Linked DNA regions of Arabidopsis thaliana. The protein of the gene in region 1 interacts with the protein of each later gene in a pairwise test. Each region holds a gene or a part of one and is shown on either strand. Other genes may lie near its edges.

The links.
Region 2: the proteins of PHV (region 1) and HAT1 interact in binary tests that used the Arabidopsis thaliana proteins (3 or more experiments, as listed by UniProt).
Region 3: the proteins of PHV (region 1) and BIM1 interact in binary tests that used the Arabidopsis thaliana proteins (3 or more experiments, as listed by UniProt).
Region 4: the proteins of PHV (region 1) and TCP5 interact in binary tests that used the Arabidopsis thaliana proteins (3 or more experiments, as listed by UniProt).

What each region holds. Positions count from the first base shown.
Region 1 is NC_003070.9:10,795,466-10,803,234, forward strand, and holds PHV (Homeobox-leucine zipper family protein / lipid-binding START domain-containing protein), read right to left. Parts: upstream 5,629-7,769; 5' UTR 5,280-5,628; coding exon 5,059-5,279; intron 4,548-5,058; coding exon 4,388-4,547; intron 4,258-4,387; coding exon 4,142-4,257; intron 4,061-4,141; coding exon 3,970-4,060; intron 3,875-3,969; coding exon 3,779-3,874; intron 3,693-3,778; coding exon 3,579-3,692; intron 3,503-3,578; coding exon 3,419-3,502; intron 3,341-3,418; coding exon 3,185-3,340; intron 3,099-3,184; coding exon 3,024-3,098; intron 2,950-3,023; coding exon 2,843-2,949; intron 2,771-2,842; coding exon 2,581-2,770; intron 2,489-2,580; coding exon 2,300-2,488; intron 2,217-2,299; coding exon 2,136-2,216; intron 2,050-2,135; coding exon 1,909-2,049; intron 1,821-1,908; coding exon 1,531-1,820; intron 1,433-1,530; coding exon 1,315-1,432; intron 1,232-1,314; coding exon 1,082-1,231; intron 1,010-1,081; coding exon 863-1,009; 3' UTR 659-862; downstream 1-658. UniProt on the Arabidopsis thaliana protein: Probable transcription factor involved in the determination of adaxial-abaxial polarity in ovule primordium. Specifies adaxial leaf fates. Binds to the DNA sequence 5'-GTAAT[GC]ATTAC-3'.
Region 2 is NC_003075.7:9,737,463-9,742,042, reverse strand, and holds HAT1 (Homeobox-leucine zipper protein 4 (HB-4) / HD-ZIP protein), read right to left. Parts: upstream 2,526-4,580; 5' UTR 2,182-2,525; coding exon 2,034-2,181; intron 1,947-2,033; coding exon 1,618-1,946; intron 1,533-1,617; coding exon 1,453-1,532; intron 1,352-1,452; coding exon 1,060-1,351; 3' UTR 809-1,059; downstream 1-808. UniProt on the Arabidopsis thaliana protein: Probable transcription factor.
Region 3 is NC_003076.8:2,605,478-2,612,331, reverse strand, and holds BIM1 (basic helix-loop-helix (bHLH) DNA-binding superfamily protein), read left to right. Parts: upstream 1-2,081; 5' UTR 2,082-2,237; exon of another isoform or gene 2,238-2,417; 5' UTR 2,418-2,760; coding exon 2,761-2,797; intron 2,798-2,928; coding exon 2,929-3,030; intron 3,031-3,446; coding exon 3,447-3,848; intron 3,849-3,949; coding exon 3,950-4,052; intron 4,053-4,136; coding exon 4,137-4,273; intron 4,274-4,358; coding exon 4,359-4,473; intron 4,474-4,570; coding exon 4,571-4,640; intron 4,641-4,737; coding exon 4,738-4,833; intron 4,834-4,944; coding exon 4,945-5,282; intron 5,283-5,383; coding exon 5,384-5,495; intron 5,496-5,587; coding exon 5,588-5,677; 3' UTR 5,678-6,314; downstream 6,315-6,854. UniProt on the Arabidopsis thaliana protein: Positive brassinosteroid-signaling protein. Transcription factor that bind specifically to the DNA sequence 5'-CANNTG-3'(E box). Can bind individually to the promoter as a homodimer or synergistically as a heterodimer with BZR2/BES1.
Region 4 is NC_003076.8:24,534,585-24,539,430, reverse strand, and holds TCP5 (TEOSINTE BRANCHED 1, cycloidea and PCF transcription factor 5), read left to right. Parts: upstream 1-2,186; 5' UTR 2,187-2,493; intron 2,494-2,723; 5' UTR 2,724-2,778; coding exon 2,779-3,861; 3' UTR 3,862-4,094; downstream 4,095-4,846.

The DNA.
Region 1 (7,769 bases):
AGACAGCGGATTAAAATAGCTGTCCTTAGACTTAAAAAATTCTGTTATTGGTTATATAAAAATATTCCACCATTTTCTTTAAATTATGCTGAAAAATGATAAAAAGAGATTGTACATAAATAAAACTTCCATATTTTTGGTCGGTATAAAACTTCCATAAGAGTTTTGTAGGTTTCTGTCCAAAAGAAAAGCTATTTATCAACTTCCATTACTAACTAGACTACCCAAAAGAAAAGTTTATAGGTTCCTCCAGCCTAGAAGTCAAAGAACAGCATCATCATGACTAGTTTTCTTGTGATAGATACTATTTCAATTTAATAGATAAATACTAGTAATGATTATTGATCATTTAATGTCAAAGATTCATTCAAATCTAATCTTTTGGATGATTATTATTTATGCATACAACCTAAACTCCGCATACATTTTTCATGTTACATATGAGCTACCAAGTCCATTAAACGTTTTTTGCCAAAAACTATGATGATTAATTTAGTTTATTCGACATGCTTTTGAGGCCAATCTTTGTGTTTATATTTGTACATTAACACATGATAAAAACTTATAAGATTACTAATAATAATTCATCTTATATCTATCTATATATATATATATATATATATATATATATATATATATATATCAAATTTCGTAAAAGGAAGATGAAGAAAAACGAAACAAGTCCAAAACATAAATAAAAATAAATATCTTGCCATACATAATGTCATAATTGATTAAAGAGATTATCATCAGAATTTTTCCATATTACATATAGAGTTATGGACTCTCTAATTCAACAAACCTTAGCCAAAAACAACATCCCCTAACTTTTAATATCTAACATAACCAACCTTTTCCTTCATCAAACAAACGACCAACTAACGAGGGTAAAAGCCAAGCAGTGGTTTGATTCGTTGTCATCAACAACTTTCCACACCGTCGCTTGCTCATACGAAACCGGTCTGCCCATGCTCGACACACATATTCCTGCCGGAAGATTCGCATATCCCTGAAGAAGATTCAATCCAAACTTAGTATTTTCCAGGGAAAGACTTAAAAGACTAGCTAGAAAATGTTTAACCTGCTGCATGATCTTGGCGAACTCGGAGCAAAGAGCTCTACGACCAGAGTCATCAAGTGTTTTGTCGAGCATTATATCCTGAAGTGCCACAAGTGTAGTTTCAAGCATGTCTAAACCAGCTTGGTTTGCAAATGTGAATACCGGTGAGGCCTGAGAACCAAAAAATAATCAGACAATTCCCAAACCGAACCATAAACTAGATTGAGCACCTCTTAAAAAAACAGAATTCTTACATTAGTTTTCAGGGAGCAGCACAATATGGCATCACTATGGTCCCAGAGTTGCTTAAGCAATGTGTCTCCTCCACAGGACTGAGAATCAGCTCCAAACAGATCTGCACCTGTATGAATACTAAAACATCGGAGAAAAACATTTTATTGAGTTATTAAATGAGATAAGCACATTCTATATTGTTACAAGTCTTTAGATTAAGGTTCTAAGAAGAGTACCTGTAACTACGGGTGATCCAACGGACAAGAGTGAGAGCTTCAGGGGAAGTGGGAAGTTGCATTGAGCCAGGACGAGGCGTAATGGCTAGAGCCACTCTCTGAATCGAACCAACAACGTTCCTCACATACTGTCTCGCCATTGTAGCAACATTGTCTCTGGAATGGTTATCAAACGTGAACTGGAAGGCTATTGTTAAGACCAATCTAGAGTTTGTTTCCGAATCGGTTTTGGTGGAACCATCTAGGGACGATGCTAGATCCCGTGTTCGACTTGCAGATTGATGATCATTCTGTAACGTTACATACAGGAATAAAAGAAAAAGGACTGTGTCAATTTCAAGATATCAAATTTCTTATCATAAACAGTTTTCTTTTTACCGGATTTGTTTTTTGGTCGAGTGGTATGACACGGAAACCAGAAGGAAGCAAAGGTGCATCATCAGCAAATGATTCATCGATTGGGGCAAAGACAAGCTGAGCACAACCTCCAACCACATTTTCATCAACGCCGCTACAAAGCTGGACAAAAGCAAAAAAGAAACCAAGAATTCAATTTCAATAACTCATCTTTAAGAATCCCTGAGTGTCTTTAGTATAAAGCAAACCTGCAGTAAATACATATCCCGGGATAAGCCCATGTCTTCAGGTGAGTAAGCATGACCTCCAAGTCTAACCACTTCGAGAAACTGAGAAACAAGTAAGCAAAATAGGATTATAGGCATGGCAAAAGAATAGACAACAAGGAAAATGTTCTTGAGATTCTTTGTACCTCTTCATGTTCGAGTGTCTGTGCGAGAGGAAGAATGACTTGGTTACTCGGGAACCCACCGGTTCTGACGCATGGAACAGCATATGGAGTTGCTCTGAGAGATGCAGCAGAATAGGCATCGACACCATAGTCTGCCCATTCAGCTCGGTGTTCTCTCAGGAACCGAATCAATACAAGGGGTGGAACATTCTTCAAGAGCAGATAAAAAAGAGAATGATGTCAGAAATTGAAGAAACCGGTTCTTTTGTCTATTCACAAGTGTCAAAACATGATATAGGCACCTGCAACAGCATAGAAGCTTTGGCACAGAGGACACCACTTCCAAAACTTGGAAGAAATGAGCTACCGTATTGGGAGCCAGCAAATTTAGCAGAGGAAGAGTTAATCATGATCGTAATATCCTCTCCTCCATCACTACTCATTGGAGACCATCCATCATCGACAAAACCATTTACAGCATCATTGAAACCCCTGAATTTCAAGAAAAGCAATTAGAACAATGCTTTAGAAAATAAAACTAAGCTTATCAAGGAAATGTATTACCGGCAGAGTCTCTGGCTGAAAGTCCTTAAAACTGCAGGCTGGCGTCCACCACTATACTGGACTTCTCCACTAGTCTCTTGAGCAATTTGGCGCACATGTCTCAGAGCCTGAAATGTGGAAGTAAAACTCATAAAGAGAGCCTAATCAGGTCACGGGTGGATAAGGTTTATATGGAACTTACAGCGACAGTCATTTTTTGAGCAAGGATTTTGGAAGACTCATAAAGAGGCCTGAGGACTTCAGGAACACTTGAGACCTACCAAACCAAAAAAACGTATCAATCAACATAAATAGAAGGCTTTTACGAAACCTAATGTGCTATTACAAATCCAATATGCTTACATCCAAGTCCACATGATCAACGATGTGAATAATGGAACCACCACCATCACAAGGACGGATAAGAAACCCGCTTGACAGCATTTTGGCTCTCACGAAGCTTGAAGAAAGTGGACCATTGGGGCCACCAGTTGCAGAAGTGAGTGATCTCTCACAGACCTGAAGGCAAAAAAGCAAATATAAGGCAAATCTAATAAATAGAATCATAGATGAACAAAACCAGGTCCTAATACCCACCACATAGCTTCCATCTTCTAGACTTGTACTATATCTCAGCGTCCAAAAGTCACGAGCTGCTGCTAATGTTGTAGGAGCATAAATCTGATAACCAACCATGAATAATGATCATTACATTTTAAAGGAACAAAAACAACACTCATGGATTTATGAAACAGACCTGAGTGTTGACAAGCTCGATAGTACCACCATTTCCAGTGGGTATAACATTCAGAGTCTCGACACATCGACAGTCACGGAACCAAGATGGACGATCTTTGAGGATTTCAGCGACCTACACAGTATTTGAAGTTTAGATTGCCTTCGTAGAATTTCCGCTTCTTACAACACAAGATTAAAATAAAAAGAAAACACCATTACCTTCATGGGTTCTAAACTCACGAGGCCACAGGCACGTGCTGCTATTCCACTGCAGTTGCGTGAAACAGCTACGATACCAATAGAATCCGGACCAGGCTACATACATAACCATGAAAATACATATTAAAACATTTTCTAAAAACCACTTCATTTCCACATATGAAAACGTTAAAATACTTCAACTTATCTACCTTCATCCCAATCATCTGGACCCAGTCGACAGCAGTTCCTGTAGCCTTGCAAAGGAACTCCGCCAAGGTCTCCTCCGCAATCGAGAGAAGACTACCAAAAAAACACTCCATTTAGTCTCTTCTCATAATGTCACAATGAGAAATTCACAAACAAAAAAAGAGCCTTCCTTACTTAGCTGGGTTGTTAACATCACGCTGAGGATGCTGATGTGTTGGGTTTTGCTGCTGACGTTGCTGACCACTCACGACCACAGACTCACAGCTGTTGTCTGTGGTCGTCCCAGAAGCCTAAGACACAACACAGAGATTTCACCAGTCACTCTCTAACAACAGAGAACTCTTAAAGAACAAATACATATACAAGCATCAAAGATAACAACTCAACAATGCATTTAGCAAAAGGGATTCAAGGACTTACAGTGTGGATTCGATGTTTCATGAATCCATTCTCATAAACCAAGTTGGAGACTTGCTTCTGCAAACGATCATTCTCTTCCATCAAAAGCTTGTTCATAGCACTCAGCTTCCTGTTCACTGTCTGAAGACGAGCTGACTCTTTCCTCTGCTTCTCTCGACATCTAAAAAGTCAACAAAACAACCAAAAGAAACCAGAAAAGTTAAAGACAAACCTATAGCAGTATGATAAATGTGTTGAAATAATAGAAAAATGAACAGAAGAAACACACACTTTTTTGCTTTAGAATGATACCAGAATGACATAAAGAACAAAAGATAATGTAATTTCCAACATATTCTCTGCAGAAGGAAAAAAAGAGAGAGGCGTTTTAAAGCTCATCAAAGACAGTTTGATTAGCTGTCACTTTTCCTTGTGATTTTAACTTTCAACTGTGTCAACAAAAGCCTAATAAGCAAAAAGAGAAAAACAAATTTATAGACATAGATCTGAAAGTTTCAAAAGCTTAACAATCACCAATTAGACCAAAAACAAGAAGATTACCAAAAACATTGTCAGACAAGAACATTTTTGTCTCCAAATACAAACAAAAGAAATTCAATTTTATAATTACAGAAACAATCAAAGAACACAAAAAACATTCCATTAAAGACAATTAATAAAGAAATAATAACCTGCGATTCTGGAACCAAACTTTGATCTGTCGAGGCTCGATGTTACAGAGAATGGGACATTCACGAATAAGCTGTTGTCTTCTCAGAGAGCTAGGTTTAGGACACTCAGCATAAACTCTCTCAAGAGCTTCAACTTGTTCCGGCGTGTATCTAACGTACTTGCCGGAATCAAATCCTTTATCAGGAGAGTCTCTATCGTCCATGGAGTGATGAGCCATCATATCTTCCAAACAGGTCAGTAGAAATCAGAGAGAGAGAGAGGGTTTACAAAAAGAAGAATAAAGATCGATACTTTGAGAGAAGTAAAAGAGACTCAGATGAAGAAATATTAGATGGGTAGGCTCTCTGAGAAGAGAGAGCCTCCTGTGAGAGTGTTCATGAGATGGTAATGGTTGGAGAAAAGAGTTTTTTGGGTTTTTTTCATTTGCTCTCTCTCTCAAAGGAGATTGAAAGATGGAAAGAGGTAAAAGGAGCAAAAGCGAGGCAGCTAAGTAGAGAGAAGAGAGAGAAGAGAGAGAAGAGAGAGGAAAATACTGAAAAAGTAAAAGTAAAGATCTTTCTGAGAGAGAAAGGACAAGGAACAACCCAACAAGATGCACTAAACTGGTAAATATTGTTTTCAAAAAAAATTAAAGGTGAAATTTTTGGGAGAGTAGGTTGAATTCAATGTTTTTGGTTAAAAGCTTTTTACTGTTAAGGCAAAGTAAAAATATTTAAACTTTTTCTTATACAAAGCTAAGCTTGAATTTTAATTCAAAGCTTAAATTCTAAAAGTTAAAATGATTAACTAGGATAAAAGTTTATGTCTTTGATAACTCATTATCAAAGCGGTAGAGTTTGTACAACTTTGACAGTTATCATTTATAAAATCTTTATCAAAAACGTTATAAAAAGTTTTATTCTCAATTTTATTATACAACTTTCTCGTACAACTCTTTTTTATAGTTTGCAACTATTCCGAAAAATTTTACAATTCATCTAAATTACCAGTTGGACCCATATATATTCTTTGGTTGCCACCATATAAATATTATTAGTTAAATAGATAATTATAATATTGATTGAATTAGATTAACAATTCATTTTAAAAGTTTCGTAATATTTGATGCATAGTTATAAGTAAATAATTACTTGTTTTATTATTTTTTCTTACAACTCTTTTAAATAGGTTTAATATGAGATGGAATCTTGATTACACTTCTCTAATTCATATCATTACCACCTAATTTTCTTTGTGTAAACATGTTTCTGTATTCAATATTCTTGGATTAGATTAAAAGGACAAGTAGATGTTGACAATTAAAAAGGATTGAAAGTGATTAGTTTTGAAAAACTTAAATGCATTCAGATTTCAGACTAAGGCTAAACACAAACAGATGAGAAAACCAACACGCAAAGTTGTTGTCTCTGCAAATTTTAAGACATATCAATTATTATCAGAATCCCTAGTCCTAATGGCAATCGATAAGAATAAATATGTTTATCTATTGGTAACAAAAATAAATCATGCTACAACTATTTATATTCGTAAAACGTAAGTGTTGTTGTCAGAAGAAACGGAATTTTGACAAAATGGGGTAATTTGCTAACTTAGGGAAAGAAAGCACTTCTCTTTAAGCTCTGTGACAGTGGCCTACCCAAACATAGCATCAAATTTTCCCTACCCTCTTTGCTCTCTAGTCCTAAGACGTTGTATGTATGTATGTATGTGCATGTACATATTTTCATGATGATGGTGTTGTTGTATGCCTATCTTTTGTATCCATGTGGAAGAGACGATGCATGACAAGTATGTACAATGTCACTATGCGCGTGAGATGCGTGAAATCTGTTGTTTTTTTTGGTTAACCTTAATTGGTTTTATTTCCTTTAACTTGTTTTGAAAGTTTTGAATATAAATTAGGGAATTTAATGAAAAAAACCCTTAACTTTGGCCAGATCCATTTTAAACCCTAAACTATGTTTTTAGTAAAACAAACCCTGAACTAAAACCTGTTAATAAACTTAACTCCACAGTAATTAATTATTAATGGGATATTAATTTCTAAAAAAAAAAACAACGAGACATTTGTATTTAGCGCAAAAACCACATGATGTTCTTTAAAACTATTTTGAATTTATTACAAAAAAACGTTCTAAATGATTTTGAATTGCTTAATTAGTTTGGATTTTAGAAGCTGAAAGAAAGACACAACAACTTAAAATAATCCAAAGAGTCATACTTAAATAAATCCAACCAACATAACTATCGAAGCTGTTGCAACACAACAATATTTGTCACAAAAAAAACAATCGTTTCAGAGGGACAAGATATTCTAAAGTAAAGACTTGTCAAGCATTAACTTTGAAGAGAAGATTGTATTGGCTGAGTGATAGGGTTCTCTTCATCCATTGTTTTCTGTTTTTTCCTTGGTCGTCTTTGAGGTTTCTTGGGTGGTTTTGGCACTGCTTTACGCTTGCATGAACGTTTGTTGTGTCCGACTTGTTGATAGTTGCTACAAGTCTAAATATGCAAAGATTAAATTAAATAATTTGAAAAGGAAGATCTTGTGAAACATAATTCATTGTTTTCTATTTTACCATTTGAACTTTTTCACGTGTATAAAGAACTTTTTGAGGTGGACGATCTTCAGTTGGATCACGGATTCTGTCATTGTTCTTTGGTCGATTTTTGGAAATTAATATCCCATTAATATTTAATTACTGTGGGG
Region 2 (4,580 bases), on another chromosome or scaffold:
TCATTAATTTGATCATGTAATGTTCTGATCACATTACATGATCAAATTAATGATGTTCTTGGTTGTGCATGTAAGTGTATTTTTTGCAAGTAGTCTACTTGTATATCCACACTTTCAATTTATTGGCAAAAGAAAAGTCATAACTCAGTGTTGCTTGCTTACGTTGTAACACATTTTTTCGATATTTTCCTGCTAAGGTGAAGAGTTTGGTTTCATTGAGACCCCCATTCGTTACTTGTAAGCAAAGATTGCAAGGATAATCCCAAGAGCTTGATGTTCATCACTTGTGTGAGAAGAAATTGCTTTCAGTACTTTCACTTTCACCAAGTACTGACAAAATGGGGTCAGTTGCTGGTGTGATCAAATATGCATGTGTTTCTCACTTTCTCTGGTGAAATAGACGACGACAACCACCACCATAATTTGGGCCGGTAAATTCGGCCCATTAATTGCACACTGTTAAGAGTTATTACCCAGTAAGATTGTAGCATTCTAAAAAATCAAGATTCTCGCTCGCTTACTACAATTCCTGGGTCCCTTTAGGATTTGTCTAGGTAGGAAGAAATATCAAACCGTCTAAATTTCAATAACCTGACGGTTCAACTTTTGTTTATGAAAAAAACTATTAGAGTATTTAGATGATTAGAGATATCATTTTTATGTAAAAGAAAAAAGAAGGGTATGAAAAAGATCTCGAAAAATTTGAAAATAGAAAAACTTATGCTTTTCTCATGAGGCACTTAACCTGGTCGCATATACAAAGATCATGTCAACGTAAAATGAAGATGGCTTCATGATTATGTCAAGAATGTATAATGGTTATTGGTTAAGAAGAGCTGGGTTTATCAAAAAAAAATAAAAGAAAAACTGTTCTTTTTTATCCTGTTTTTTTTTTTATTATTATAAATTTGTTTGTTATCAAGAAGACAAGAATAACTAATTTAATTAGATTAAAGTAAATTTAAAAGTAGAAAAAGGCTTTTAAGGATACATTAGCTGAGAGTCAATAATCTAAAAAGTACAATGACCCACACACAACCCATAGAAGCAGCATTAAAGTTAAGACCTAGGACGCATCACATCAAAGGTTGACCCATGGGCCATTTGGAGCCATGGACTCAATGAGACAGATCGCTGGTTGTGGTTAGATGAGGATGGTCCGGCCACACGTTCACACGATGGACACATCAAAAGTGTGGTCGGTGGACTCATCTGACCATACAACCGCGGTGAAAGCTTTAATGCTCTTAGTTCCGCTGCCTCTTTCTCGAGCCGCCGATTCTCTTCCGTTAATTTCTCAACACATCTTTTCAAATACTCGCAATCCACTTCGGTCTGCTTTAACTTTGTCCTATTAGGCACAAAAATGGGTTGTATTGTAAATAACATTGCTCTTTAGGGGCAAAATGGTCAACTAATATGTAAAAATAATGAGCACTCTAGTTCTCTCACCTTGCTCTTCTGTTTTGGAACCACACTTCCACTTGTCTTGCTGTTAAACCTAGCTTCTTAGCCAAAGCCAGCTTCTGTTTCTGTAGTTTTACAATAAAGCCCTTGTTAAAAACAGAGTATTTACAATAATACTTTCACGCTCCGAGAGATGGATGAATGACTAACGGGATTGAGAGTATTGTGCTCTTTGAAAGTGTCTTCGAGAACTGCGGATTGATCTTTGGATAGTCTAAGCTTCTTCCTACAAGTCTCACCTCCGTAATCTTCCTCTTCATCGGAGGTTCCACGTGAGGAAGATCTATCTAGAGTGATGTCAAGGTCATCTCCGCAACCACCACCGGAGGTACCTTCTCTTTCAGTACTCCTCCTCTTTCCACTCACTGTGCTCGAGATCGTACTGTTTGGAGACGAAACTCCTGTCTCCTCTTCCAAATCCACCGTTGTTGGCAAGCTGTTCACGTCGATTTTCCTAAGAAACTGTTGCTTTTGTTGATCTGAAAAATGAAAAAGGGTTATTTCAGGATCTGTGTTGTTTCCTTGTGGAAAAAGGTTATCAAGACTTTGTTGAAGAAGAAGCTTACCTGAGGAAGAAACAAGGGTTTGGTTCCATGGAAACATCTGGAGATTGGACATTGGTGAAGAAGTGGGTTTAAGATTTAGCTGGAGAGGATGGTTTTGTGCAAATCCCAAGCTAAGACTTAAACCCAAATCCTCTTTACCCATCATCATGATATTGTCTCTTGGTAGAAAATGAGAATAGCAAAAGCTTTGATCTTTATGAGTAGAGATGACTAGAAAAACCTTGATCTAAAGCTGATTTTACCTCAAAAGATTTATCAGTTGTGCTAAGTGTATGGAGGACAAGAGAAACCTTCTTCTAGGGTTCTTATAGAGAGAGAGAGATGTGAAATGGGAAATGAAAAGAGAAAGAGAGGATTAATATAGGAAGTGAATGATATGAGATGTTGTCAGGTTGGCCAATTATAATCTATTAATGCCCTTTTGAAACTCAATTATTATATCCCCAACTTGTTCCCTCTTTGTCTTCTCCTTTCTCTTTTTTTTTTTTCTTTATCTTTTCCTTCTTCTTCTTTTACTATTTTAGTAAATTGTATAGTAAGTCCTATCTTTTGCTATCTTTTTCCATAACCTCAAAGTACTTCTATATATGTATGGAATCCAAAGTAAATTTAAAATGCAAATTCATATTTTCCATCTCTACTTTATTTCTTGCAAATTTGGACTAGGAAAAGAGAAACTCTATAATATGCGGTGCAAATCCATTATGACATTTATTTAGCGACAATAAGTACATCAAATTATATGCCTAATCAACTAAATAATGATTCTAAGTTTTAATTATATACCTTCACATATATATGAAGTGACTCATGTTATGTCTTGCATATATTAGATATAAGCAGCCTTAGCTTCTGATTTAATAGTATCCGAGGAATTTTATTATTGCGCCAATTTGATATCATTTCGAGATATATAGACATTAGTTCTTTATTAAAAAAAAAATTAATAGAATTATTATTAAGAGTTGTAACTTGCTAATCTTTTTGACCATGTCAAAAAAAAAAAATAAAGATGTTATTGGATGAGCTTACTAGAGTGAATTTTATTTAGTATTTACGGTAAGTTGAATAATTGCCAATCTAATAGTTATGCTACAAAATATTTACTCTACTGTAAAGAAATAAACGTGAACATCTTTAGTTTTTTACTCCACCTAAAAGTGGTAGTAAATATTTCAGTTCATTTTCTCTTTTCATTTTTATTTAACCCTCAAATTTTTCCAATCATTGGTGCAAGAACTTGTGACCTTTGTAAAGAAAAAAAAAACAACTCAATCAGTCAAGATCACACACGGATGAGAACAGATATCGAAGAAATAGTTGGCAATTAATTGTTGAAATAATGAAGAAAAAAAAAGGACTAAATCAAGTGGTTGGTACAAAACACAATCCACATGAATCTGAGCTCATTCAAAGTTGTGGGCCAGTCACCTGTTGTGATCCAATCATATCCATGTGGGATGTGGGATCTATCATTACACTAACACCCATATGTATTACATATGAATCCAATATTCACTGACTGTTTCTCTATTTTCATTTCATGTTCTTAAACTTTCAACTATTATAGATCATCATACTTCCCTTATCATCAATTTTGTAGAATTTTTAAGTATTCAGATCGTGTTCTATAATCAGATATATTCTGAGTGCTGCTAATCAGAATCATTTTGCTTTATTGTTGACAAAAAAAAAAAAGAAGAAGTAAATTAAAACTGCCGAAAGATGATTAAAAAATGTCTCAAATAGTTTTGGGCTCAAGAGAGAACATGGGCAGGTGGGTCATGTCACGTGACAACAAGGGACCCGAAAACACTCGACCCGGCCGTGCGTTTTATTTTGTTTCCTCACGCGCCGACATCTTATCATTGCCTACCACGCGCCTTCATCATTTTCGCTTCGTTGTAATCATTATACGCATGATTTCAAATGAAATAACTCCTTCTCATTAATGATCTAACTGTACTCGAAATTAAAAATAGTTAAACATAGTACATTCGAATTATATGCCGTATATAATGAACTAATAATTCATCTTTCTAGTAAGTATTTTTTTTTTCAAACTAGTAGTGTATTATGCGTTCTAAACGAAAACATGAAATATCTATTTAGAAGCTCTATTTGAAAATGTTAATGGATTTGAATACTCACGACAAAACGAACCAAAAAATTGTTATTGAATATATATATTTCTACTTCGTTTTTTGATTAGAAGAAATTCGAGACCCAAAAGCTCGTAGATCCCCCTTAGGTTGAGACGAGAAATTCAAGACCCCTATTAGCTTATATATATTTAGTCTATACTTGTATATAATAGCAGTGATTAAGGGTTCGGTATAGTCCCGGTTTATTCATCTAATTAAGGTGAATCTCTGGTTTATTATTGGTTTAGTTGGTTTGTTGTCTATACAACATTGTAACAAACTTTCAAGATTATTAATGAGAAATTGAGCTTTCACCATGTTTTCTCTCTCGAGCATGGTTCCTATTATGGTATCAGAGCAATTTCTGCTCTTACTTCTCTGATTTCTCATCGATTTCTCATTG
Region 3 (6,854 bases), on another chromosome or scaffold:
AACCAAAAAAAAAAAAATGTCATTGATATATAGTTATATACTTATATGCAAAGAGATGTTTAATATTGTTCACCCTTAAAATATTATCAAATCTTGATATTAAAACAGTTGTTAGCGTGTGCATGAACCTGGTGAGTAGTTGTGATGAGATCTCGCATTGATTTACTTCAAATTGGATTAAATATGTAAAAATATGTTTAAGAAATCTTGTGACTCCGCGAATGATTTTCTCCTATACATTATTCTAATTAATTCCATGGATATGTTTTATAATATGCGTAGGAAATTAAAGAAAATATGTTTTGTATTATATAAGTTATTTTGATCTTAATCTTTTGAAGTTGAAACCTACTTGATATGCTTCTTCTTATTTTGTTAACTAACTCAAGTTGAATGATTATTTATTGATTGAATTACGTAAGACGGGAAGAACATGATGTGCCCAACCGAACCACGAATGGTTAAGGATAGGTCGGTTTGTGGCATATCAATAAACAGTTTATGAGACTGAATGGAAACCTTCTTTCTTCGATCGACTAAAACCCTTAGCCTTCCAAGTTTCTAGTCAAGAAGTATTGTTACTAAATTGCCCTTGATGTTAATGTTTTCGAAAATCTATTTATGTTTCTACAGTGTTTCTCTCACGTGAGTTGCAGAGTCAGTTCACGTGGTCCCACTACATCATGAAAACGACGTCACACTAACCTCTTATTCGCCTTTCACTTGAATTGACCATTTCGTTTTTATTTACTTTCCTTGATTTCTTTCTTTCTTCTCATCTAAACGTGTAAAAATCTTAACAATTCCATTTGCTTTTTTGTTTTTGATTTTAATGTATCTAACCAATTACTTGTGCTCTAGAGAAACCGAATCTCGAATAACAATAATACATTTCATCAAAGAACCACGAGATTGCGAGTGATTTTAAATCAATATAATACAATTCATGGGGTTAATATAAAATACAGAGAATAAAGCGTGTTTAAGCACAACCTAACAACTCACGAGACAAAGTGGAAGGCATGTGGGGATGTGTAATTGTTTTTGCTCTTTCCCTATTTTGTACAATTTTTCACTTCATGTGATCCAACACTATTTAGCTATAGTTCCTTTCTCACTATCATCTCCATCTCTGTTTTCAATTTATTATTTCTATCTTCAGATTAAACTCATGACTACTGGAAAGATGTAGTACTCAGAAACTAACTAGATTGTAAGCATTAGGGGAGGGCAATAAATATTACTCGTAAGTAAATTTAATTCTTAACTACTGAAAATCTTAAGTAATTTAATCAAGTATATACGTACTTGCAAAAACTTGAAAGCCATAACTATTTTCGCTTGAATACAAATGGACTAAAGATATTTTATCATTTTATTTTTGGTTTTAAGAGATGACTTTTTTCGAATATATAATTCAAATTATATACAGTACTAGACATATGTTAGTTTAGTAAATGCTAACAAGACTTTTAAAATAAGTACTGTAATTTGTAAGTCGTCTATTTGGTTTACTTATAAGTTAGTGATTTTGTAACAAGTGGCATTCAACTAAATATAAAAATGCGCTTAGCTCACATGATCAGGTTCTTAACTATGGGTTTTAGACAATTTGTTAAAGGCGGAAGAGCTGTCTTTGTTCCACCTAATGTCACATACATTACATATATCTCCACTCACACAAATACATAGACGCATACACGTACGAACAAAATCATACTTGTCCCCCTATATTCCATCATCTATAGCAGAATTTCTACTACTAAATTTACTATTAAATTGGTAATTGTTTGCAGCCAAGCCTAGCTATCAATTAGTAGTACGTATCTTTGTCAAACTTACCAATTACCTTCCAATTTACCAATTAAACAAGTCGTCTAGTTATGCGCATTCAGTACACACGAACATAGACCACGTAATACAGTGGTCTGATTACATTATTTACATGGAGGTTTTTATAAGCATGATTTTCTAAACGGAGACACAAAATCTTCTTTATTTTATTTTTCCTTTTCGCACTGTTCATTTAGGTTTGGTGGTATTAGGCTATAGAAGAATGTACGATGACTTGAATATCAGATACATGAGATTCTTAATTAATCATACATATCTTACCATTTTAATTAGTTAACTGATTTCCTTTTGATTGCATTTACTTCGACGCATGATAGTAGTCGGCGTAATTTCAACAGTACCTTGACACGCCAAAAGCTTCACGTAATTTGCTGTCGAAGAAGGTACGCTTCTTAGCTCAAATCTAATCCATTCGTGTTCTTTAGAGATTTGACTTGGATTCTAGTTTTTGTATCTCCATGTTCATTGGTTGACTTGAATTATGCGAAATTGAGTTGGTTTGAGCTATGAATTCCGCTGAATTATGGTTATTCTCTTGAATTTCTACCCAATTCTGATGACAGATCTATCGATTCCACGAATTTGGTGACTTCTGCCGATTCTCCCGTTTGAATTCTGTGGAATTCGCTGAGAAAAGTTGCGGCGGAGGCTGATTTAGGTTAAATCGAGCAGAATTTGACCAAATTCGAGGATTTTTATCGGTAAAAAGATACAGAGAAAGCATAATTCAGCAACTTCAGAGCTCAATTCCGCTTCTTCAACCATCGAAAACCACAATATCTCTTGAATCAGCTGCTACAAGTCGCAGATCTGAGCTGCTAGCCAATTTTTGCGATAATTCCCGCGCACAGATTAGTAATAGAATAATTTAAAAAGAATTCAAAAACCGTCGAAGCTCTGTCGTTCATGGAGCTTCCTCAACCTCGTCCCTTCAAAACCCAAGGTAAACACCATTATCAGATATTATTGTTACCAATTCCTTTATTTTATTTTAAAACAGAGTGTTTAGTTTCTACAAGATTCATAATTTTAAATTTATGTATTTTTTTGAATTTTGATATATATATTAAGAAGAATTTCGCACAGGGAGAAAACCAACACATGATTTTTTATCGCTCTGCAGTCATTCAACCGTCCACCCAGATCCAAAGCCAACACCACCACCTTCTTCTCAAGGTATTTTTTTTTACCATTTTACCCTTTTTTCTTCTTTAAGATTCTCTTAAAAGGGGTCACGTTTTTTTCGCGCGTGCATCTGATCTGACTTTAAGACGAATCATGGATCAAAATGTTGCTATTTTGTTGGGTCCTAATGGGCCCATCTGTGTTTAAAGCCCATGGAATTTTGGGACCGTTTTTTTCTTTCTTTTTCGTCTACACATGTCGTTAAACCTTGCCTTCGATTAAATAAATATCTTTCAACCCTCATGATGTTGATCCCTAGAATTGCATCACATAAATAACAAAATGTTGTTAATTACTATAAGCGTTTAAATGCATACAACTTGATGTATAAGAAAATGTGTATTATCTAGGGATTTACTTCTCTAACATATAGTTTATGTTTTTAATTTTGATGGTACGTGAAGCAGGTAGTCACTTGAAAACCCATGATTTTCTTCAACCGTTAGAATGTGTTGGTGCTAAAGAAGACGTAAGTAGGATTAACTCTACCACTACAGCGTCCGAGAAGCCACCGCCCCCTGCTCCACCTCCACCGTTGCAGCACGTGCTTCCCGGTGGTATAGGGACTTATACGATTAGCCCCATTCCTTACTTCCATCATCATCATCAGAGAATTCCTAAGCCGGAGTTGTCACCACCAATGATGTTCAATGCTAATGAGAGAAACGTTTTGGATGAGAATTCTAACTCTAATTGCAGCTCGTACGCCGCTGCATCAAGCGGGTTCACTCTGTGGGATGAATCTGCTTCTGGGAAGAAGGGACAGACAAGGAAGGAGAATAGTGTTGGGGAGAGAGTAAACATGAGAGGTAACAAGAAAACTTGAATCGTGATGTTTATTTAGACTAGTTTTAAAGTAGTATTTAGAAATCAATGGAATGATGAAATATAAGTTTTTTTGAATGTGTAGCTGATGTTGCAGCAACTGTGGGACAATGGCCAGTGGCGGAGAGACGGTCCCAGTCTTTGACAAACAACCATATGAGCGGTTTCAGTTCTCTCTCTTCCTCTCAGTTAGTCTCATATCTTCTCTTTTTTATATAACTCGGTCTATGGACTTTAAAGAGTGATCAACTAAAGTTTTACTTTGGTTGCAGAGGGTCTGTGCTTAAGAGCCAGAGCTTCATGGACATGATAAGGTCAGCAAAAGGAAGTTCACAGGAAGATGATTTAGATGATGAAGAAGATTTTATCATGAAGAAAGAAAGCTCCTCGACTAGCCAGAGCCATAGAGGTTTGTATTGTCCGAGATTCCACCTATATGATATCTAAAGTCTAAACAGTAACAGCTTAGGATCTGATTGATTGCTTCTTTACAGTGGATTTGAGGGTAAAAGCAGATGTGAGAGGCTCTCCTAACGATCAAAAGCTGAACACACCTAGGTCTAAACATTCTGCTACAGAGCAACGGAGAAGGAGCAAGATCAATGATAGGTAAGTCCTGAATATGTAGCAAAAGCCACCAGAATTGGTTATATAGCTTAGCAGAGTGGAGATACTAATCAAACATTGTTAATGGATCCCTCTGCAGATTTCAGATGTTGAGACAACTAATACCTAACAGCGACCAAAAGCGGGATAAGGCCTCCTTCTTACTAGAGGTATAACTATACTCTTTTGGCCGAAAATTTTGTGACAGTAAGATTCAATCACATCTGCTCCTAATCTCCAATTTTTTTTTTTGACAACTTCATACAGGTTATCGAGTATATTCAATTCTTACAAGAGAAAGCAGACAAGTATGTGACCTCTTACCAAGGATGGAATCACGAACCTGCGAAGCTATTGAATTGGGTAAATATAATCTCACATTTTCCGACCATACTTCATTTTTATTCCCCGGGTTGGAAACTGAAAACAAACAAACCATGTAATGTTAACCCGTGTGATCCATTTACATTATAGCAGAGTAACAACAACCAACAGCTAGTACCTGAAGGAGTTGCTTTTGCTCCAAAATTGGAAGAAGAGAAAAACAACATTCCGGTTTCGGTCCTTGCAACTGCACAAGGTGTTGTTATTGATCATCCAACAACCGCGACGACCTCTCCATTTCCATTGTCGATTCAAAGCAACAGTTTTTTCTCTCCTGTGATTGCGGGTAATCCCGTACCCCAGTTCCACGCAAGAGTCGCATCATCAGAGGCTGTAGAGCCAAGTCCGAGTTCCCGGAGTCAAAAAGAAGAAGAAGATGAGGAAGTTCTTGAGGGTAACATCAGAATTTCAAGTGTTTACTCACAAGGGTAAAACTAAAAAACTCTCTTTTGAATTTTGATCTTGCAACAGTTAAGTAAAAGTAAAAAATTATTAACCTTTTATACATTTACTTTTGTGTGTGGAGCAGATTAGTGAAAACACTGAGAGAAGCATTGGAGAATTCAGGAGTGGACTTAACGAAAGCAAGCATCTCCGTTGAAATCGAGCTCGCTAAACAATCCTCGTCTTCTTCCTTCAAGGTATCTTTTTCTTTACTTACGTTTGATTCAATTCAAACACATTTTCATGAGTTGGATCTTGATAGTTTATAGTTTTGTTCACATCTCGATAGGATCATGAAGTTCGTGAACCGGTTTCTCGAACCAGAAACGACAATGTCAAGCAAACTCGGAAACCAAAACGGCTCAAGACGGGACAGTAGAAGTTATAAAAACAAAACCCAAACACACAATCCGGTAAAAGTTAAACACCAAAATTGATTCCTCTGTTTTTTTCTTTAAATCATTTTATCTCAAAAAGGGATTATAATTTATTATTATAGTTATATCTTTGATTTTTTTCTTTTGTACATCCGAAATCCTGTTATATATATCTCGTGGGTCCATAATCGTATGAGACCTAAGAAGACTAGGGCGACCCGGTTATGCTAACCGCATTTTAGAACATACTCTTTTGAGGAATATATCGTTAAGGAAGGCTTTCAAAGTTTTCTGGAAGCGTCCAGTGTTAAGTGAAAACATTTTTCACTCTCTTATATACTTGATCATCTCACACTTTTTATATTTGTTTCTTCCTCTTACTTTGTTCTATGGTTTTCAATGTAATACTAGATATCTTTTATGTATTTGACTAAACCAAAGCGCATGAACGATTTTGAAAAAGAAAAAGAGAAACACACTTAATTATAATGCCAATCAAAAGCCTGTATGACCCAACTCTCTAGGACAAAGTCTGGAGCACGGCAAAAAGATTAAATCAAGTGTACTTTAGCAACAAGAGCTATCTTGTACTATTATTTATGCAATGTTGTTAGCAAAATAATCAAATGTTATGTGGGGTATTATAAGATATGCCATTGAAAAATATATCAACTAGCATTTAATTACTTTTATTTAAAATGATGAAAATCATATCTTCTATATATTCAACTTCAATACTTGATTTTCCAAACTATTGAAGTAAACGAGATCCCATATATAATGGGATAAAACAACAAACATCAATTACGTTCTTTTAACCATAATTTATATCCATAAACAACAAACCGCCTGTATTTCCTCGGACACGAAGAGGATTTGACACGGGAAGCTTCGTCTTCTCCCTCCTCGTCGTCGCCTCCAAAACTCAGGAGTTTCTTCTTCAGAGACGCGGTGGTAGCATCTTTTACCGTGGAGTTTCGTCGCCGTCGTTGTCTTTATCAATTATGATCTTTCTCGAACTAGAGCTTTTACAGTTAGGGTTTGAAACTTTGACTGGAATTAGAGCAAACTTTGGTCGTGATTGTAGTATTTTTTTAGTTTGGAATGTTGTTTATTATACTAGATATTAATCTGCAGTATACCGCGGACCTATATTTTTATTAAATAAAAAATAATTGA
Region 4 (4,846 bases), on another chromosome or scaffold:
TGGAGAACTTATTTGAACAGACTGAAATTTCAATTTGGCAGAGTTTTGAAATAAATTCAGCCTAAAGTCAGAAGTGTCGAACATATACATACATGTTACATGTATACAAACATACAATTTTAACGTATTTGGTATTTTCTGTACAACTAATGATCACAAGATCCTATATATATATGATCCAAAAGTCGGAGGAAATTAAGCCAAGAAGCTCAAGTCACGTCGTCGTCGTCGTCATCATCATCCATCCCTATATATGATTCGGTTGTTTTTTTGTCAACATGATGATTAAGTTAAATTATGTGTATATATATAAAAGGCAGGAACAATTTAATTGTATTCACATAATTCGTTGCCAAATCCTGTCATACATTCCCAAAATTCCCTAAAATATGATCTTGTTAATAGTTTCTAGCTTATTCCTTAAGCTTGAATTTACGTTAAATCAATTTTGAAAGAAATTAAGGTTTTGGCTTTGACAGACGTTACCAACCAAGCAATGACTAAAGGCGGCTTTGGTAGTGGGCTGCTTTAGACGACGGGTAGGTTTGGCAAGCTTCTTTGTTGGGACAAAAAAATTGTTGTGATAAATTTCACCACAAGTTTTATGAACATACATCATAATTAATATTGTTGCAGCATATATTAGTTAGACCAATATACCACTGACACCATCTATATAAAAGTTAGTACATGTCTATCACAGTACCAAAAAAATGAAATGTACAAGTCTATCTCGCTCTAAGAATAATTTGTGTTTAAAATATACCACCATATCCGGAAAGATCCTTGGAAATGCCTTTAATGAAGGCTTCCAATCGCCTTCTTAAAATAATCTGTGACATTGTGTTGTGATCATCTTAAAATGCCTTAAAATTGTGTTGGATAATCTACGGAACCGATGTGGAAAAAGAAATCCATGGAACCTTTGATTTGAGATGAACAGTTACCACAATTTATATGATCATTAAAATTATACGATATATAAGTGGTTCATATTTATTTAATATTTTCCCCATATTTAAGTGAGGACCAAAAAACTGATACAAAACTTTTTCTTGCAAAATTACAAATGTAACTTTGTTACAGTCAATTTCATCTCAAGATTACATAATCAAAACCAGAGTTCTTAATTTGAAACCGTACAGTACTATATATGCAGTAACTCAATATTCTTCGTAAACAACCAGTGTGGGTTAAAGGCGCGGTCAATTACAGAAGACTTTATATATAGTAGTGATCAAGTTGGATACAAAGAGGAAAGAAAATGGTTTGTGATTGTGGGCAAAAATCTCAGTGGCAAAGACACTTAGAAGAGAAGTGGACCACAAATCTCTTTGTGAGTATTTAGGCATTAGATGCTTTAAAGAAAAACCTATACTCGTTGGTCCATTCTCTATCTCAGAGACAGACCCTTACCTCCTCTAGCTGTCAATCTCTATTATATTTACTTATATATGTTGATATTAAAACAAAAAATTTATATATATGGATATTTTCTATATATGCTTAAAAATATAACCCACAAGTAGTTAATTAGAAATAAAAGCAGTATTCCCAACAGTTTGATTTTAACAAGTCTACATTTCATTATCACTAAATTTAGGGTTTCAACAAGTTGCTTCGTTAATAATGAAATTCAACAATTTATCTACAAATAAAACTTTTCATTTTCCAAAACGACAGAAACTCAAATGAAATGAGCGACGACTGTAAATAAATTGGTCTTTCCATTTGTTTATATTATGAATTTTTTTGAATTTACTAAAATTTGGTTTCATAAAACTTTCAAACTCGATCTTGTATATATATATGTTTCACAGTTCAAAGTTCAAACCACTTTTACCATTATTAATTTACTATACATGTACTATATTTTTTTTTCACTTTAAAAGCTCTTGTTACCATTTATAACTATTAATTTGTCAACCGTACACTTTCTCTTAAATGACCTTAACCGTATGTTTATATTTTTGTTTAAGATAAGAAGACAACATAGATCACAAACTTGGGTAAAAATTAAATCATATAAAATTCAAAATGAATGTCTAACACCAAGGAAAGGGAACCAAAACTTGAATACTAAAATATATTAAAATTTATTGTAAAGGTTTTTTTTTTGTCAACTATTGTAAAGTTTTATATATATAAGATTTATGTGACTGTGAGTGTAACGAAACATGCACATTCCCATCACAGTATCAATACACTACATAAATTGCTCCTCTTTTGTCCTTCTGCATAAATTCCTTTCATACCGAAAAAAAAAAGCCCTAGGGATCGGAATATAATACTTAAAAATATATCTAATTCATTTATTATTTAACTTCCCCAATCATTATAATATACATATGTAATTCTAGTTTCCAAAAAAAGAAATACTACACATTCCTCTGCCTCCTTATCTCTTTCTTATTCTTCTTCTTCCTCCTTCTTCTACTTCTCTATCAAGCTGGATCTTGAAATAGGACTCAAGCTTACCAGTATTCAATCAACGTAAGAACATATAACCTTCAACATGTTTGAATTTCAAATTCTTATGAGCTTTCTTTTCTTTGATGCAAACTCAAGAAAGAGATATTATTGCTTTGTTTTCATGTGAATCTCGCTCCAAAAACATATTTAAAATCAACAATTTCATTCAATTGAAAGCTAACAACAACTAATTCTTGTCTTCTTGATTTATTTTCTATTAAATTGGTCAATTTATTCCCTTCTTGTTTCAGATCTGTTCTTTACACCAAATTGAGTACTGAAGATCTTGTTGAGTGAATTAAAGAGATGAGATCAGGAGAATGTGATGAAGAGGAGATTCAAGCAAAGCAAGAAAGAGATCAAAATCAAAATCATCAAGTAAACTTAAACCACATGTTGCAACAACAACAGCCGAGTTCGGTATCATCTTCAAGGCAATGGACTTCAGCTTTTAGGAATCCAAGAATCGTTCGAGTCTCAAGAACATTCGGTGGCAAAGACAGACACAGCAAAGTATGTACAGTCCGTGGTCTTCGAGACCGGAGGATAAGGTTGTCCGTACCTACAGCTATTCAACTCTACGACCTTCAAGATCGATTAGGGCTGAGTCAGCCAAGCAAAGTCATTGATTGGTTACTCGAAGCAGCAAAAGATGACGTAGACAAGCTACCTCCTCTACAATTCCCACATGGATTTAACCAGATGTATCCAAATCTCATCTTCGGAAACTCCGGGTTTGGAGAATCTCCATCTTCAACTACATCAACAACGTTTCCAGGAACCAATCTCGGGTTCTTGGAAAATTGGGATCTTGGTGGTTCTTCAAGAACAAGAGCAAGATTAACCGATACAACTACGACCCAAAGAGAAAGTTTTGATCTTGATAAAGGAAAATGGATCAAAAACGACGAGAATAGTAATCAAGATCATCAAGGGTTTAACACCAATCATCAACAACAATTTCCTCTGACCAATCCGTACAACAACACTTCAGCTTATTACAACCTTGGACATCTTCAACAATCGTTAGACCAATCTGGTAATAACGTTACTGTCGCAATATCTAATGTTGCTGCTAATAATAACAATAATCTCAATTTGCATCCTCCTTCCTCGTCTGCCGGAGATGGATCTCAGCTTTTTTTCGGTCCTACTCCTCCGGCAATGAGCTCTCTATTCCCGACATACCCTTCGTTTCTTGGAGCTTCTCATCATCATCATGTCGTCGATGGAGCCGGTCATCTTCAGCTCTTTAGCTCGAATTCAAATACCGCATCGCAGCAACACATGATGCCGGGTAATACGAGTTTGATTAGACCATTTCATCATTTGATGAGCTCGAATCATGATACGGATCATCATAGTAGCGATAATGAATCAGATTCTTGAATGATTTTATATATCTACACTATACATTGAAAATGTTATATGTATACGTATTCTTCTATATTTTGATATATATGCGTATTGTTGGATTGGTTTATGTATCTTCTTCGTGTATGTATACACTTTTTAATAGTCTCGGATTTAGATTCGAACAAAGACATTCATAATGCGAGGATGGTTGTTATTTCTATATATGTTTTAGTTTTGAAGGTAGTTTTTGCTTCCTTAAGAAATTATATGAATTCTACTTGAATGTCTTTCTCTATTCATTTATGAATATATACACTCGAATAAATGAATTGTACAATATAGGTATCTCATAACTAGCTAGCACTTTCATCCTAATCCATAATCTAGATTAGTTAATCATATTTCATATGTTAGGATTTAGGTTTTACATATATGGAATTTTTTATTGTTATCACGAATGTGAGAAAGTGAATAAAAACGCAAAGAACAATAATACTTTTCAAAATAGGATGGAGGAAAAACAGATTCAGAAAAAGAAAAAGAAAAAAAGAGTATTAACATAACCCTAATTCAACTTTAAACCAAATAGGTCCATCGAAACCCATATGCTATTCTACCATCGTATGACCAGATTCAAAGCATTTCACCAATCACCATTATATATATATATATAGGCATCACAATGTTGCTAAGAAAAAACATTATGTAATTTTTTTAATCAAAATATGATATGATCTATCTTAATCATCATTATGCAATGATTACATAGTCAGGACTTGAATTGGATATAATCGTATCTACAAATTAATTTTGATATATATATCTATAATTAACTACAAAAGTACAAATTTTTACCGCCAATGTAATAATGTATATAGAAAAGTCATGTTTGTTCACAATGCAAATGAAAGAAATCGAAGGGGTCGTTGCTTGTCATGTGTCAGAAAAACACCAATAAGTTTCAAATAATTTTATGTCCACAATCATTCATTTTCTTATAACTACGTATATTTGTACG